Linked DNA regions of Caenorhabditis elegans. The protein of the gene in region 2 interacts with the protein of the main gene of each other region in a pairwise test. Each region holds a gene or a part of one and is shown on either strand. Other genes may lie near its edges.

Region 1 (7,989 bases), on a different chromosome or scaffold from region 2:
ATTTCCAGGTGTTTCTCTTGACGCTGACGATCCGATCCACGTTGAATGGGTTCTCGAAAGAGCAAGTCTTCGTGCAGAAAAATACAATATTCGAGGTGTGGATCGTCGTTTGACATCTGGAGTTCTAAAAAGAATTATTCCGGCTGTTGCATCAACAAATGCAGTTATCGCTGCATCATGTGCCCTAGAAGCTCTGAAATTGGCCACAAAGTATGTAAGATCACATATTAAAACTCTCAATATTCAATTTCAGCATTGCCAAACCAATCGATAATTATCTTAATTTCACTCAAATTCACGGAGCATATACCAGTGTTGTTTCAATGATGAAAGATGACAATTGTCTCACTTGTAGTGGTGGGCGTCTTCCATTCGAAGTTTCACCATCTTCAACTCTTGAATCGCTTATCATCAGACTCTCGGAGCGTTTGTACGTTCTCCGTTTGTTTTAGAAAACAAATTTCAAATTTCAGCCATCTCAAACATCCGACACTAGCGACCTCAACTCGAAAACTTTACTGTATTAGCAGTTTCATGCCACAATTTGAACAAGAAAGCAAAGAAAATCTGCATACTTCGATGAAAGATCTTGTTAGCGATGGCGAAGAAATACTGGTATCCGACGAAGCATTGTCTCGTGCACTTACACTACGAATTCAGCTCATCTAATGCATTTCTTCTATTTCACTTTTGAATGTCTCGGGTAAAGTATGCCTGTGTTCCATGTCAATAAAAATAAAATCGTTTTTAAACTCAAAATATTTACCTAAAGAAAATAGAAAGGAAAAGTGAACTGATGAAAATACAACGAGCAATTGAAATGGAACGAGAAGAGGGACCCTGTGAATGACAATTAAAGTATGAAAAATGTGGCAATAATACAGAAAAAATAGAGACGGAGAATGACTAGATCTATAGATAAGACAACCGATGTGAGCTTTCAGAAATCATTAAGACGTGCGAGAAGATCGTCTGTTGATGGCACCACTGTGCCTGATGATGATGATGTAGCCGTGTTTGATGATGCAGGACCAGATGAAGTTGACGAGGAACCCGTCGGATCGTTTTCTTTGTGCGTTGGTGAGATTTGCGATGTTCCATTGATATTCTGAAAGTTAAATTTCGAAAAGTTTCCACATATAAAATATGTTACCGTAACTGGAACAGCTGGTTGCCCTTTCCTTCTCACTCGAACTTTGAGCTCATTCTGACCAATCGGCAATCCAACTCCAAATGCTTTAGCCCTATCAAGCGCCGTTGTTGGTTTTACTGATGATGGAAGTTCCATATTTTGTCGTTGCAGATCATTTTGAGGAACGTTGCGTGATCGAGCAAACTGTCCGGAAAGAACCGGTTCCGATGCGCAGCCAGTGAGATCTTGAAGCTGACCCAAAGCATTCTGATGTCGTGATCTTTGCCGATCAAGTCCTCCTCCAAGTCTTCCACCTCCGCGAGTTCGAGCTGGCAATCCGGAACGAGGAGTTCGAGAATTTGTGGCAGACATCAAGGTTTGAAGGAAATCAGCATTTCCTGTAGCACGCTCCAACTCATCGAGCACACCAGCCTTATCGGCAGCTGAAAAAATTATATTAAAAAACAATTTCAAAAATATCAACTCACCAGTCGAAACTCGAATCATCGCAGCCGGAGTTCTTGGCACTCTATTAATCGCCTGTCTCTCTTGTAACGGCTTCCTTTCTTGTTGAGATTGTTGCAGCTGCTTCCGCTTCTGTGTCTCAAATTCTGCTTCTTTTCGTTTTGCTTCTGCTTCGGCATCCAACTCTTTCCAAGCATTCGAATATTGCTCAGAGAAGGTGCGAATATCGGCGAAAAATTCTTCCATCGGATATTTTTTGTCGTTAAATGCATAATACTTGACCAACGACTCCCAATCGTTTTTCATCTTTCCACACATTGACGAAACTGTGGAGAACTCTTTGACAGCTTTTTCGTGGAACGGCCGCATCTTCTCGTCGAATAAATCACGTTCTCCTTGAATTTTGTACACTTTTAAGCAGTTCTCCAGTTTTTTAATGTTATTCTCTGTCAGTTGAACAGTTTTTCGAATTTCATCCGCATTCACTCGGGACGATTCAATGCAATGATGGAAGTCGGTGAGAGCAAATCTTAAATTTTTTAAATTTTGAGAAAGCAAGTAAAGGAATCTACTCACCGTGCTCGTCTTGGATCGATTCTCTTCATTTCTTCAATTAAATGATGTAGAAGAGTATGCCGATTATCGACATCTTTTGTATCAACCAGTCTTGTCAGCATTCTCATGTCGAACGCGTAAGCACTCGAATAGTTTTTTGTCGCTCCGCCCATAAAGTTTCCAGTCGCCAAAACAAGTTTCAAAAATGTTCGGAATCCTTCAGATGCTCGTACTTCTTCGCACGCTTCCATCACTGACGACATGGCTGGTTTCAGTTCATTCAACACTTCAGAGAATCGCATTTTGAATAGAACCAAGTCGAGACGAAGCGGAAGACCTTGAATTTGGAGCAGACGAGTGACAAATTGTTCACCCTCGGGCATTTCCTCAAATTGAGCCTTGTTCACCGCTCTCAGCTTGTCAATAAGCTCCTTCTCCACTGGCATTGCTGATCGAAGTTGCTCCAAGAATCCGACAGTTAAAACCTTTTCGTTGACTTCCAAAATCGCCAGCTTGAGCTCTGAATGCGACATTTTGATTGATCCTTGAAGAATGCCTGCAAGAAAAAGATCATAAAAAAGGATATACTTCTTCGAGTTTACCCAATTTTTGAAGTAATTTATCGTCATGAATGACTTGTGCTGTCTTCACTTTCTTTTTGCTATTCAAGACACCACCAAGAGTACCACTATTTGCAGCAGGTTTCGTGGCGAATTTGGTTCGTAAACGATCGAACATTCGATCGCTGGTCAGCTGTTCTTCGTTTGTTCCAACCCAGAACGACTCTCTTGGAATATCCCGAGGGTTGATAGTATGTGCTCCCCATGGGAACTTTCTCATGGGACCATCAACCTTTGGAACCTTCTTGGGTGGAAGGTAATCAGGTATCACGGGAGCCATCGGTGCGAACATGCCTGGAGGAGGTGGTGGTGGCGGTCCGCCCTTGAACCCTCCCGGTGGTGGTGGAGGAGGTGGAGGTGGACATCCTCCAGGAGGCGGCGGAGGTGGTGGAGGACCTCCAGATATTGGAGGCAATCCTCCCGGTGGAGGCGGCGGCGGGGGTCCTCCGGTGATTGGAGGAAGACCACCAGGAGGAGGAGGTGGAGGCGGCCCTCCTGTGATTGGTGGGAGACCTGGAGGTGGTGGTGGACCTCCAGTTATTGGCGGTAGAGCTGAAGATCCACCAGCAGATGTGGATGGAGCCGACAAGTTCATCTTCGTTGGCGGAGGAAGAGGTATTTTTGGATCATTTATCTGAAAAATAACATGTTTCAATCAAACCGCTTCTAAAAAAGTAAATATACATGTTTTCTCAGTTCTTCAGCTTCTTTCTGGAAATCACATAATGTTTTCCAGTATTCTCCTTGCATTGCAACAGCTTCCTGTTTGGCCGACGTGGCTTGTCGAACTTTTTTGGCCATCTCTTCGTCTTGCATTTTATCTGTAATTAAAATTATTTAATTTTTCAATATACTCTCGATCACAAACCAATGATCTCGGCCACAGGAACCTCAAACACAAACTTATAATCCGCTTGTGGATCGATTGGAGTTCGATGCAGAAGAATATCTGATATGGCTGTCTCGATGAGTTTCATATACGATCTTTTCGTCGACATATCCTCATTAGTAAGAGTCATAAGCTGTAAAATTGAAAGGAGCACTGTCTCGGTTCCGGTGGCTTCAGAGTTGGCGGCAAGAAGTTCAAAACATCCATCCAAGGTATCATATTCTCCTTTTACATTTTCAAGCTTCCCCATCAGTGTTTCCAAATCTGCATTGTGCTCAGTGAGCATGTTCTGAGCAACATCCCGAATTTGCGAGTTTACAGTTTCAGATGTAGTGAATTTCTGGAAAATATCTGGGATAAGATTATTTTTCTGAAACAATCAAATTTACCTCAATGTACTTGTGAAGTTTATCTTTTGCAGCTTCACTCCTTAATCTCATTCGTGCTTGCCACATCGTCTCTTCTGTCCACATTTGATCATCACTTATGTTACGATCGACACCATTGATCATCATATTTATCATCAGAAGTACGTACATTCCTTGTTTTGGATCGCGGGATTCTAGAAAATCGATGCAGCTGATGAGGGGCCGAAATCGAGAAACTGGTTCATTGAGCCGTTTGGATTCAGCTTTAGCTATTAAGGACAACTCCATGAACATCTTTTGTTGACTGAAATGCATTTCAATTAAATAAGATTTGAACTGTTCAAAATTTTTACCCAGTCATTTCAATCGGAGTTGACAGCGTATCATGTTGAACAAAAATCAACGTATAACATGTTCTAACCACATCAACCCGAATAGCTCGAATCTCAGCTGCTTCATGATCGTTTTGCTCTCGCCTGTTCAGGACGCATAATGTTTGAATGAGAAGTGAGTATACAGGAGAGTTCCGTCGCAATACAAGAACAAGGCCAACCTGAAATAGTGTAGAATTAGAATTAGACTGAAAACATACAAACTTACATGTGTATTAATTAGCGTTCGGACACATCTGACGATTTCTTGCAAGAAATCAATCAAATCAAGCTCATATTTCGAGCCAACTTCACTGCTTCTCAGTCGTTTCAAGACTAATGAGTAGAGACAGCAGATAAGATCAGCTCCAGTGCGACCAGACTCGTCATGAACTTCTACGGCGAACTGAAAATAAATATGTATTTTAATAGTAACAATATCTATCTTAAAAAACGAACCTTATTAAGAAATGAAACACCTTGACCAACTAGCTGAACCCGTACAGTAACAATATCCTGCTTGCATTCCGGAATGTTTTTCGTTTTCAATATTTCTCCCAATACTCGTACAACCCATTCCGGAGACCTTCCCTTCGCCTGATTATCTTGTTTTCTCGAATTCTCAATCATCATTTTCATTTGATCAAGTGGCGTATTAGAAATAATTTTATCAGCTTCGGGCAGACCTTTGTCGAGCTGCAAAATTAGTAGAAATATAATAAGAACTCTATAAAGAATATTACCATAATTTTCCTGAATTCTTCTCGTATTTCGTCTTCAGTTCCTGACAAGGCAAATGATTCTCCTGGAACTATTTTATATTGAAAATGGAGATCTTCGAAATAATTCAGTTTAATGCTCGTTTAAAAGTGAAATACGGTCAATGGGAAAACAATTTGAAAAACGCTTCCTATGACGCTAAAATTATTAAATATCATAATAACATGTTTTAAATCTACAGTCAAAAATAAGTGAAAGAAAAGTGGCAAAAACTCACAATCAGTTTTCACCGTTTTTTCACAAATCACATTGTGAAATAATAAAAAAATTTCAAAATATTTTTGAGAAGTTCTATGACATTTTGACATCTTAGCACCATAGGAACGGGTTTTAATTTCAATATTGACCGTACTCTACCTTTAACTAGCGACATAATTTTTATTTTCAAGATTAAGAAAAAAAATATTACCTGAAGAATTTGAAGCAATCGAGAAACCTCCAATACTTTGTGTGCCTGCATATGTACCGTAGTCATTGTTTGAATATGACGATGATGGAACATTCTGAAAATAAGAAAATATACTTGTGGGGAAAATATTAATTTGAGGATTTTGCAAACTCTAATTATTATTATTACTTTTCTCTAATAATAAGATGTTATTTCTGTATTTTTAGGTAGAAGAATTCCCAGATACGAACATTTAATTTCTGTCGTTGTTTTCGTTTAAATCTGCTCGATGAGAACAAATCAGTCCATCTTCCAGAACCATTCGCTCCACTTAAATGAAATGGACTCCTACGACTAGCAAAATCAGCAGCTCCAGCCAACATTGAATGTCTTTCAGCGCTTCTCCTTTTGAATTTCTGATTAGGAACTTGATCTTCCAAGAAATGAGAAACAGTTGCATCTTGTGCACGAGTCGCTTTTTTCTTTTCGCGCAATTGCACACGAGGCTCGTCTATATCAGAATTTTCAGAATTCGGGTGAAGAAACTGCGCTTGTAGAGGGTCTAGAATTGTATTTTTTGGAGCAGAATTAGAAGCTGATGGTGTAGGAGTCACGTCTTCATCGTCATCCGTTGAATAACTTGAATGACGAGATTGGGTAGGAAGTCGATTCATATCAGCTAGTGAAGCTACACGTGGCGTGTCAATTGACTCATAATCATCGCTAGACATTTTTAAGCTGGAAATGTTTCAAACTGAACGAGATTTTGAACGGAACGAATTGAATTAATAAAGTGGAGCGGATTACCGAAACGGTCAAAATAACCTCAATACAGGTAATAAAATCTAATCGTAAATGAAGGTAAAACCGTGAATTGAATTGAAATTGTATTGACAAGTGCAGAGAAATCAAAAACCAGGGAGAAAAATAGTGAAGAAATGAATAACCGATTGGAAAATAATTTTCTTACGAAAAATAGAGACTTTGTTATTTTCCATATACAGAAAACCAACTAAAAATTGAAGGCAATCAGCGAACTCTAGAAAAGTGAGAAGAAGGGGAAAAAGAGAAGTGGAATGTCATCTGATTCTTGGGGAGAAAAATACAAAAATGAAATCTATTCAAATTGAATGGCAGGCAAATCGACAGGGCATGCGGGTCGTTGGATGAAAAAGTGAGAAATGGAGGAAATGTGTGAGAACCTAGTGATAAAAGAACAAAATAAATATAAAATAAACACAGTCACTTCGGTATTTGGAGAAAGCGAAAAAGGGAGAGGAAGAGAATTTGAGAAGTGCTCCGGAAAACAAGAAAATGAACTCGGGAATGGAGATTAGCTCATTCTTCATTAAGTTTTGAAATAATATGTTTTCAGCCAGCATATAATTTGCTTAAAATCTAGTATCTGAGAACAGCCTATTTAATTTAAACTCTCACGTTTTCGCGGAAATTCATAAACTGCAATCCTACATTTTAAGATATTTATTACACATCGTTGAGTTGATTGGGATTTTCGTCCTCATAAATAAAATATATTTAAAAGGAATCCAACTACTTGTTTTTTGGCGGCTAACATAAAGCTCGTTCATTCTTGAAGGAAATTTGACACTGTTTTACAGTATGCAAATCCCTTGCTCTCTTCTCTTTTTTGTCTGATTTTTCCCGCCAAATGGGTCATTGGGCACATGTGAAGGAGATAAGAGGACTCATGGAGAAAGTAGAGAAGGAGAGACGGTCAAAATGGAGACTCATGTCAAGTGGACAGGCTGGTGGTGCTTTTTGAGCATATGATTATCATAGACATATCACTGTTGACAGAAATATGAATGATAGCGTGTTCGCCGGCCGGATGCTCTACAATGTGTATTTTCTATTCACACATGCATGAAGTCACTGCCGATCGTTCAAAATACTGAAGTGCAAATATAAATTTTAAAGAAAATTACTACATGTGCAATGATCGCTTAATTTCACGAATGATAGAACACCTTAAAATGTCTAAAAATGTTTTCTGGATACGTTCTCAAAAAATATGTGATAATTCTACAGTAATCCGATGTTAAAGACTAAGATTTCTTCAAAAAAATTCGGTGCCTCATGCTGGAATCGAACCAGCGACCTTCTGTTTACTAGACAGACGCTCTGCCACTGAGCCAATGAGGCGGACAGAAAACCGGATAGTAAAGCCGTTGAGAAGAGAGAGAGAGAGAGATACGAGACAAAGATATCAAGGCAATTGGGTGGGTTTTTTAACACTGAAAATAAGACAATTGTTTGAAAACTGAAAATTTTGTTAGATAAACTTTCAGAAAGTAACATTTAACTTCAAGAGGAAAGATTTCTATGATCATTGGTAACTGATAAGCTAAAGAGCAAATAGCATAGTCACATAGACATTTAACAGAGAGAGAACACCTAGAT
Region 2 (4,112 bases):
GTTTTCGTTACGACATATCTTGTGCGCCAAATACGTAATATTTTAATTATGAATTTAAAAAAGTTGAATTATCATACTGGAATGAGCAGTTTTTTCGGTTTTTGATTTTTCTAAAAATGAAATTTTTCGGAAAATCGAAAATTTTCCCTAAAAACATTGAAAAATCGAAAAACGGCACCCTTTTCTGAGACGAAAATTTATGATTTTCCGATATATAGAAAAATTCCATATTTTCGAAAAGCTTAAACTTTCGGCCATTTTTTCTTACGTACTCTTATGGGTTTTCTCATAAAAAATAATACGAAGACGCCGAAAAATAAAAATTTCCGCCATATCTCACTCCCACGGGTCTCGCCACGCTGGCAACAGGTTACTGTAAACCGACAGGAGTTACAGTAACCGTGTTGTCTGCCTAGCGAGACCCATTCGCGTAAGATATTGTGGAAAATTTCATTTGACAAATGTGATTACTTTTTAATTGTTTTTCCCTCATTTTCTAGACATCTTTTTCCGAGTTTTTTTTCTCTAAACGATTTTTGCAAACGATGATAAAAATCTGTAAAATGATTCTGACCAAAAAACCGCGCCGCACAATTGCAGTGTGGGCGTGGTTTCGAAAAAAACACGCGATAATTGCTCCGAGCACAAAACTCTTCTCTCACTCTCTTTCTCCGTCGATGGGAGATGAAAATGAAATAATCGAGAAGGCATTGAATTGGCAATGAATTTACTAGAAAACAAAACGGGGGAATACAATACATTATGATAAAGCTGAAAGTGAAATAAAAACTGTTTCTGTGTTTGCTCTGGGAATGGGAGTTTTGAGGGAAAGATTACGCGGAAGAAAACCGAATTTCATCGTTGTACTCGTAGAAATCAAGGTTTGGGAGAAGGGAGAAGGGGGAAGTTTGCAAAAAAAAAATAGAGAAAAGCGGGAATAAATACGAATCGAACAACAATCGATAGAGAGAGAAGTATTTAGTATCCAGCATTGTTGAGATAGGTTTGCATACTCTCGACAGCCTTGCGAACTTGTGCAGCAACTTCATTTGGTCCCTCGTAGACAGCAATCAAGACTGCAGACTTGGTCTTCACAGCGAAGAATCCAGTGTTCTCCTTTTTTCCGAAGATGAGCGATTCTTCGGTACGTGGAACGACGTAATGAACTCCTTCGATATCGGCTCCTTTTGCTGGAACTTGAGTGACGTCATTGAATAGGGCAACGAAGGTTTTGAGCTCTTCTTCGGATGCCTGGAAATTGGAAAAAATTAGAGAAGTTTTTGGACAGGAAATATTTCTTGTTAAAAAATTTGCGCTTTGAAATTTCCAAAAATTCGAAATTTTAAATCCAGTAACCCTAAAGTTAGCCTTTTTCCCCAATTTTCGCATTTTTAGGCCTCAAAACACTGAAATTTCCAAAAAAATCGGCTTATTCTTGGCCGAGATACTGGAAAATCACAAATTTCAGTCTGTGAATTTACATTTTGCAGGAAAAAATCTTCGAATTTTAATTTTTTTTTTAACGCTTTTTAACTCTAAATTTTCATGAAATTGAAAAATCTGAAAAAAAAAAGTTTAGAAAATTCCAGAGTAGGCAGGCTTCAGGCGGCTGAAATACAAGTAGGCTCTAATGTAGGTATCAGGCAGGCCACCTCGAAGGTAGTCAGGCAGGTAACTTGCCTGACCTTCAAGGTAGCCTAAGCCTGTCTGCTGCCTACTTGGGTTTCGAAGAAGTATAAACTATATGAGAAACAGGGGCTGGTAGGCAGGCACGGCCGCCTGAAGCCTGCCTAATCTGGAATTTTTTAATTTTGTTCGAAAAATAATGAAAATTTTGCAATTTTTGAGTGGATTTGCTAATTATTCCTGTAAAATGTAAATTCAGCGGCTAAAAATTTCGATTTTCAATTCAAAAAGTGAATAATTTCGCGAGATTTTCAGTTTTTTGGGTCAAAATGCGAAAATTCCAACAAAAATCGACCCCGCTAGCTCTTTTCAATCTCAAAAATGGGTCAATTTAAGGATTTTTCAATCGTTTCCAGTTTTAATCGATTTTTTCTCGAGCTTCTTCGATGATTTTCGTCCATTTCCATACCTTGAACACATTGTCAGCCTCAGTACGAGCCCAGACAGATCCATCAGCGGCTCCGACGATTGCACACCGTTTGATTGATGGAGCAGCGGCAGTCATTGTGTCGATGTAGGCATTCCATCCGGACATTTTTGTGTTTTGGAGGAGGTTGAAGCGGAGATTATACTGAAAAAATAAACATAAATTATGATTGAGATGGTTGGAGGGGTAATGAGAAATGATAATATGAAGAAAGAGCACAAATTAGGAGAAAAAGAGCATAAAATCGCTTGAAAATTACGGTTTTTGTAAACAATCGATTATTTTTTGATTTACTGCGCAAAAAATGGAATTTTAATGCCGAAATACCCAAAAATTGATATTTCCGCAGATTTTTTGCTTATCTGTGGTGTAAGTTGGTGGCGAAGAACTTGCGAATGGATAAAATGACAAAAACCAACAAAATCTCACTAAATTCACAATTTTCTCGCCAATGTAGTGCAAAAATTGAGCTTCTTTCATGAATTTCTTGGAAATTTTCTGTGAATTGAGCCGATTTAAACCAAAATTGGCATTTTACCTAGAGTTGACCAATTTTCGATGATTTTCAGACCATTTTCAGGCCAAAAAGGCGGAATTGAAGCTCGAAAACACCGAAAACTACCAAAAACTACGAAAATAGTAAATATTTCGAGTTTCAGATGTAGAAAACTTGGAAAAATTCAGCTTTTGGAAGATCTCGCCTCGAGAAATTAGGACCAACTTAAGGGAGAATTCTTTTTAAAAAAGCAACGTTTTGAGGCGAATTTTCAACTACTAGAGGATTTGAACTATCTAGAGCAATCTGAGAATTTAATTTCACAAGAAAAATGGCATAAAATCGCCAGATGACCCAAAATTGAGAGAAATTAAAGAAAACTTCCAATTTCAAATTCCGAAAGATGAAAATTGCTACGAAAACTAGAGGACATCTTTGACCACCCGGAACACTCCATCTAATTGGCTGGGCAAATGGAGAAGCAGTGAATGACAGTGAGGAAAAGCAATAGAGAGAAGAAGAGAAAGAGAATGTTTGCATGCCATCTGGTGCTCTCCTTCTTCCCCTTTTCAACCCGAACAACGAGCTTGTGCTCCTGCTCCTGCCTGCTTGCTCCGCTGGTCAGTTATTCACCCATAAAGGACGAAAAGAGAGACAGAGACCGCCCATCAAATTGAATGTGTGTGTACTACTAAAAGAGGGTGAAATAACCCGCCTCAATCCATACTAATGTCAAATGCAGTTGCAATTTATATTGAACACACAGACCCAGAGACACAACCAAAGCCAATGATGAATCATTTTGAAGAGAACACAGCGAAGACGACGGAGGAGAAAGAGAACCAAAAGGCGATAGAAGACGAGTTGCGAAACAATTCAATTTGAACAAAGCTTTCTAGCTTTGAAAATTGCGAAATTGAGCGCTGAAAATGGATCTTAATGCCGAGAATGACCAGTGGATTGCGAAATTGGAATGGTGAGTCACATGGAACAGCAGGTCGCCAAAAATCGTCGAGGAAGCTTCAAGTTGTTATAATATTCGCAGTTTTTTCTGCCAAGGAGATCTGAAAGTCATTTAGAAGAAAAAAAATACATCAAAATGCTCAAAAATCATAAAAATATTCGAAATTTTGATGATCGAAGCCCCAAAAAAGTCACGAAATAGTCAAAAGAGCCGCGAAAAACAGAAATTTCGTAGCATTGGCCGGATTTTTCTATAAATATTGCAGAAAACCCGAAGATTTTGTCAGTAAATCGAACGAATAAACTCCAGAAAGCGGAAAATGGGGAAAATGGGGAAAATTTTACATTTTTCTACAAAACACTCACTGTGAGCTGAAATTTCATCAAAAAAAATAGGAAAATTGAGAGTTTTCTAGTCGAAATCTTACGCTATGTGATAATTTTTATAGCTTTTTTATTTTTCTCGATTCACGACGTTATCGGATGCCGAAAATTGATAAAAAACTCTTTCTGAATCACCTATTTCCGCTCCTTCCTTAC

What was found.
Region 1: the proteins of pfn-1 (region 2) and cyk-1 interact in a two-hybrid assay, tested with the Caenorhabditis elegans proteins (one study listed by BioGRID).

Annotation. Positions count from the first base shown.
Region 1 is NC_003281.10:7,022,898-7,030,886, forward strand, and holds cyk-1 (WAPL domain-containing protein), read right to left. Parts: upstream 6,309-7,989; 5' UTR 6,300-6,308; coding exon 5,820-6,299; intron 5,684-5,819; coding exon 5,590-5,683; intron 5,206-5,589; coding exon 5,144-5,205; intron 5,097-5,143; coding exon 4,860-5,096; intron 4,807-4,859; coding exon 4,630-4,806; intron 4,583-4,629; coding exon 4,383-4,582; intron 4,334-4,382; coding exon 4,051-4,333; intron 4,002-4,050; coding exon 3,641-4,001; intron 3,594-3,640; coding exon 3,457-3,593; intron 3,407-3,456; coding exon 2,755-3,406; intron 2,709-2,754; coding exon 2,174-2,708; intron 2,127-2,173; coding exon 1,621-2,126; intron 1,576-1,620; coding exon 1,154-1,575; intron 1,109-1,153; coding exon 941-1,108; 3' UTR 745-940; downstream 1-744. Other genes in the region: rfl-1 (NEDD8-activating enzyme E1 catalytic subunit), read left to right, coding at 9-210, 254-430, 474-669.
Region 2 is NC_003279.8:12,920,149-12,924,260, reverse strand, and holds pfn-1 (Profilin-1), read right to left. Parts: upstream 2,258-4,112; 5' UTR 2,222-2,257; coding exon 2,096-2,221; intron 1,252-2,095; coding exon 979-1,251; 3' UTR 713-978; downstream 1-712. UniProt on the Caenorhabditis elegans protein: Binds to actin and affects the structure of the cytoskeleton. At high concentrations, profilin prevents the polymerization of actin, whereas it enhances it at low concentrations. By binding to PIP2, it inhibits the formation of IP3 and DG.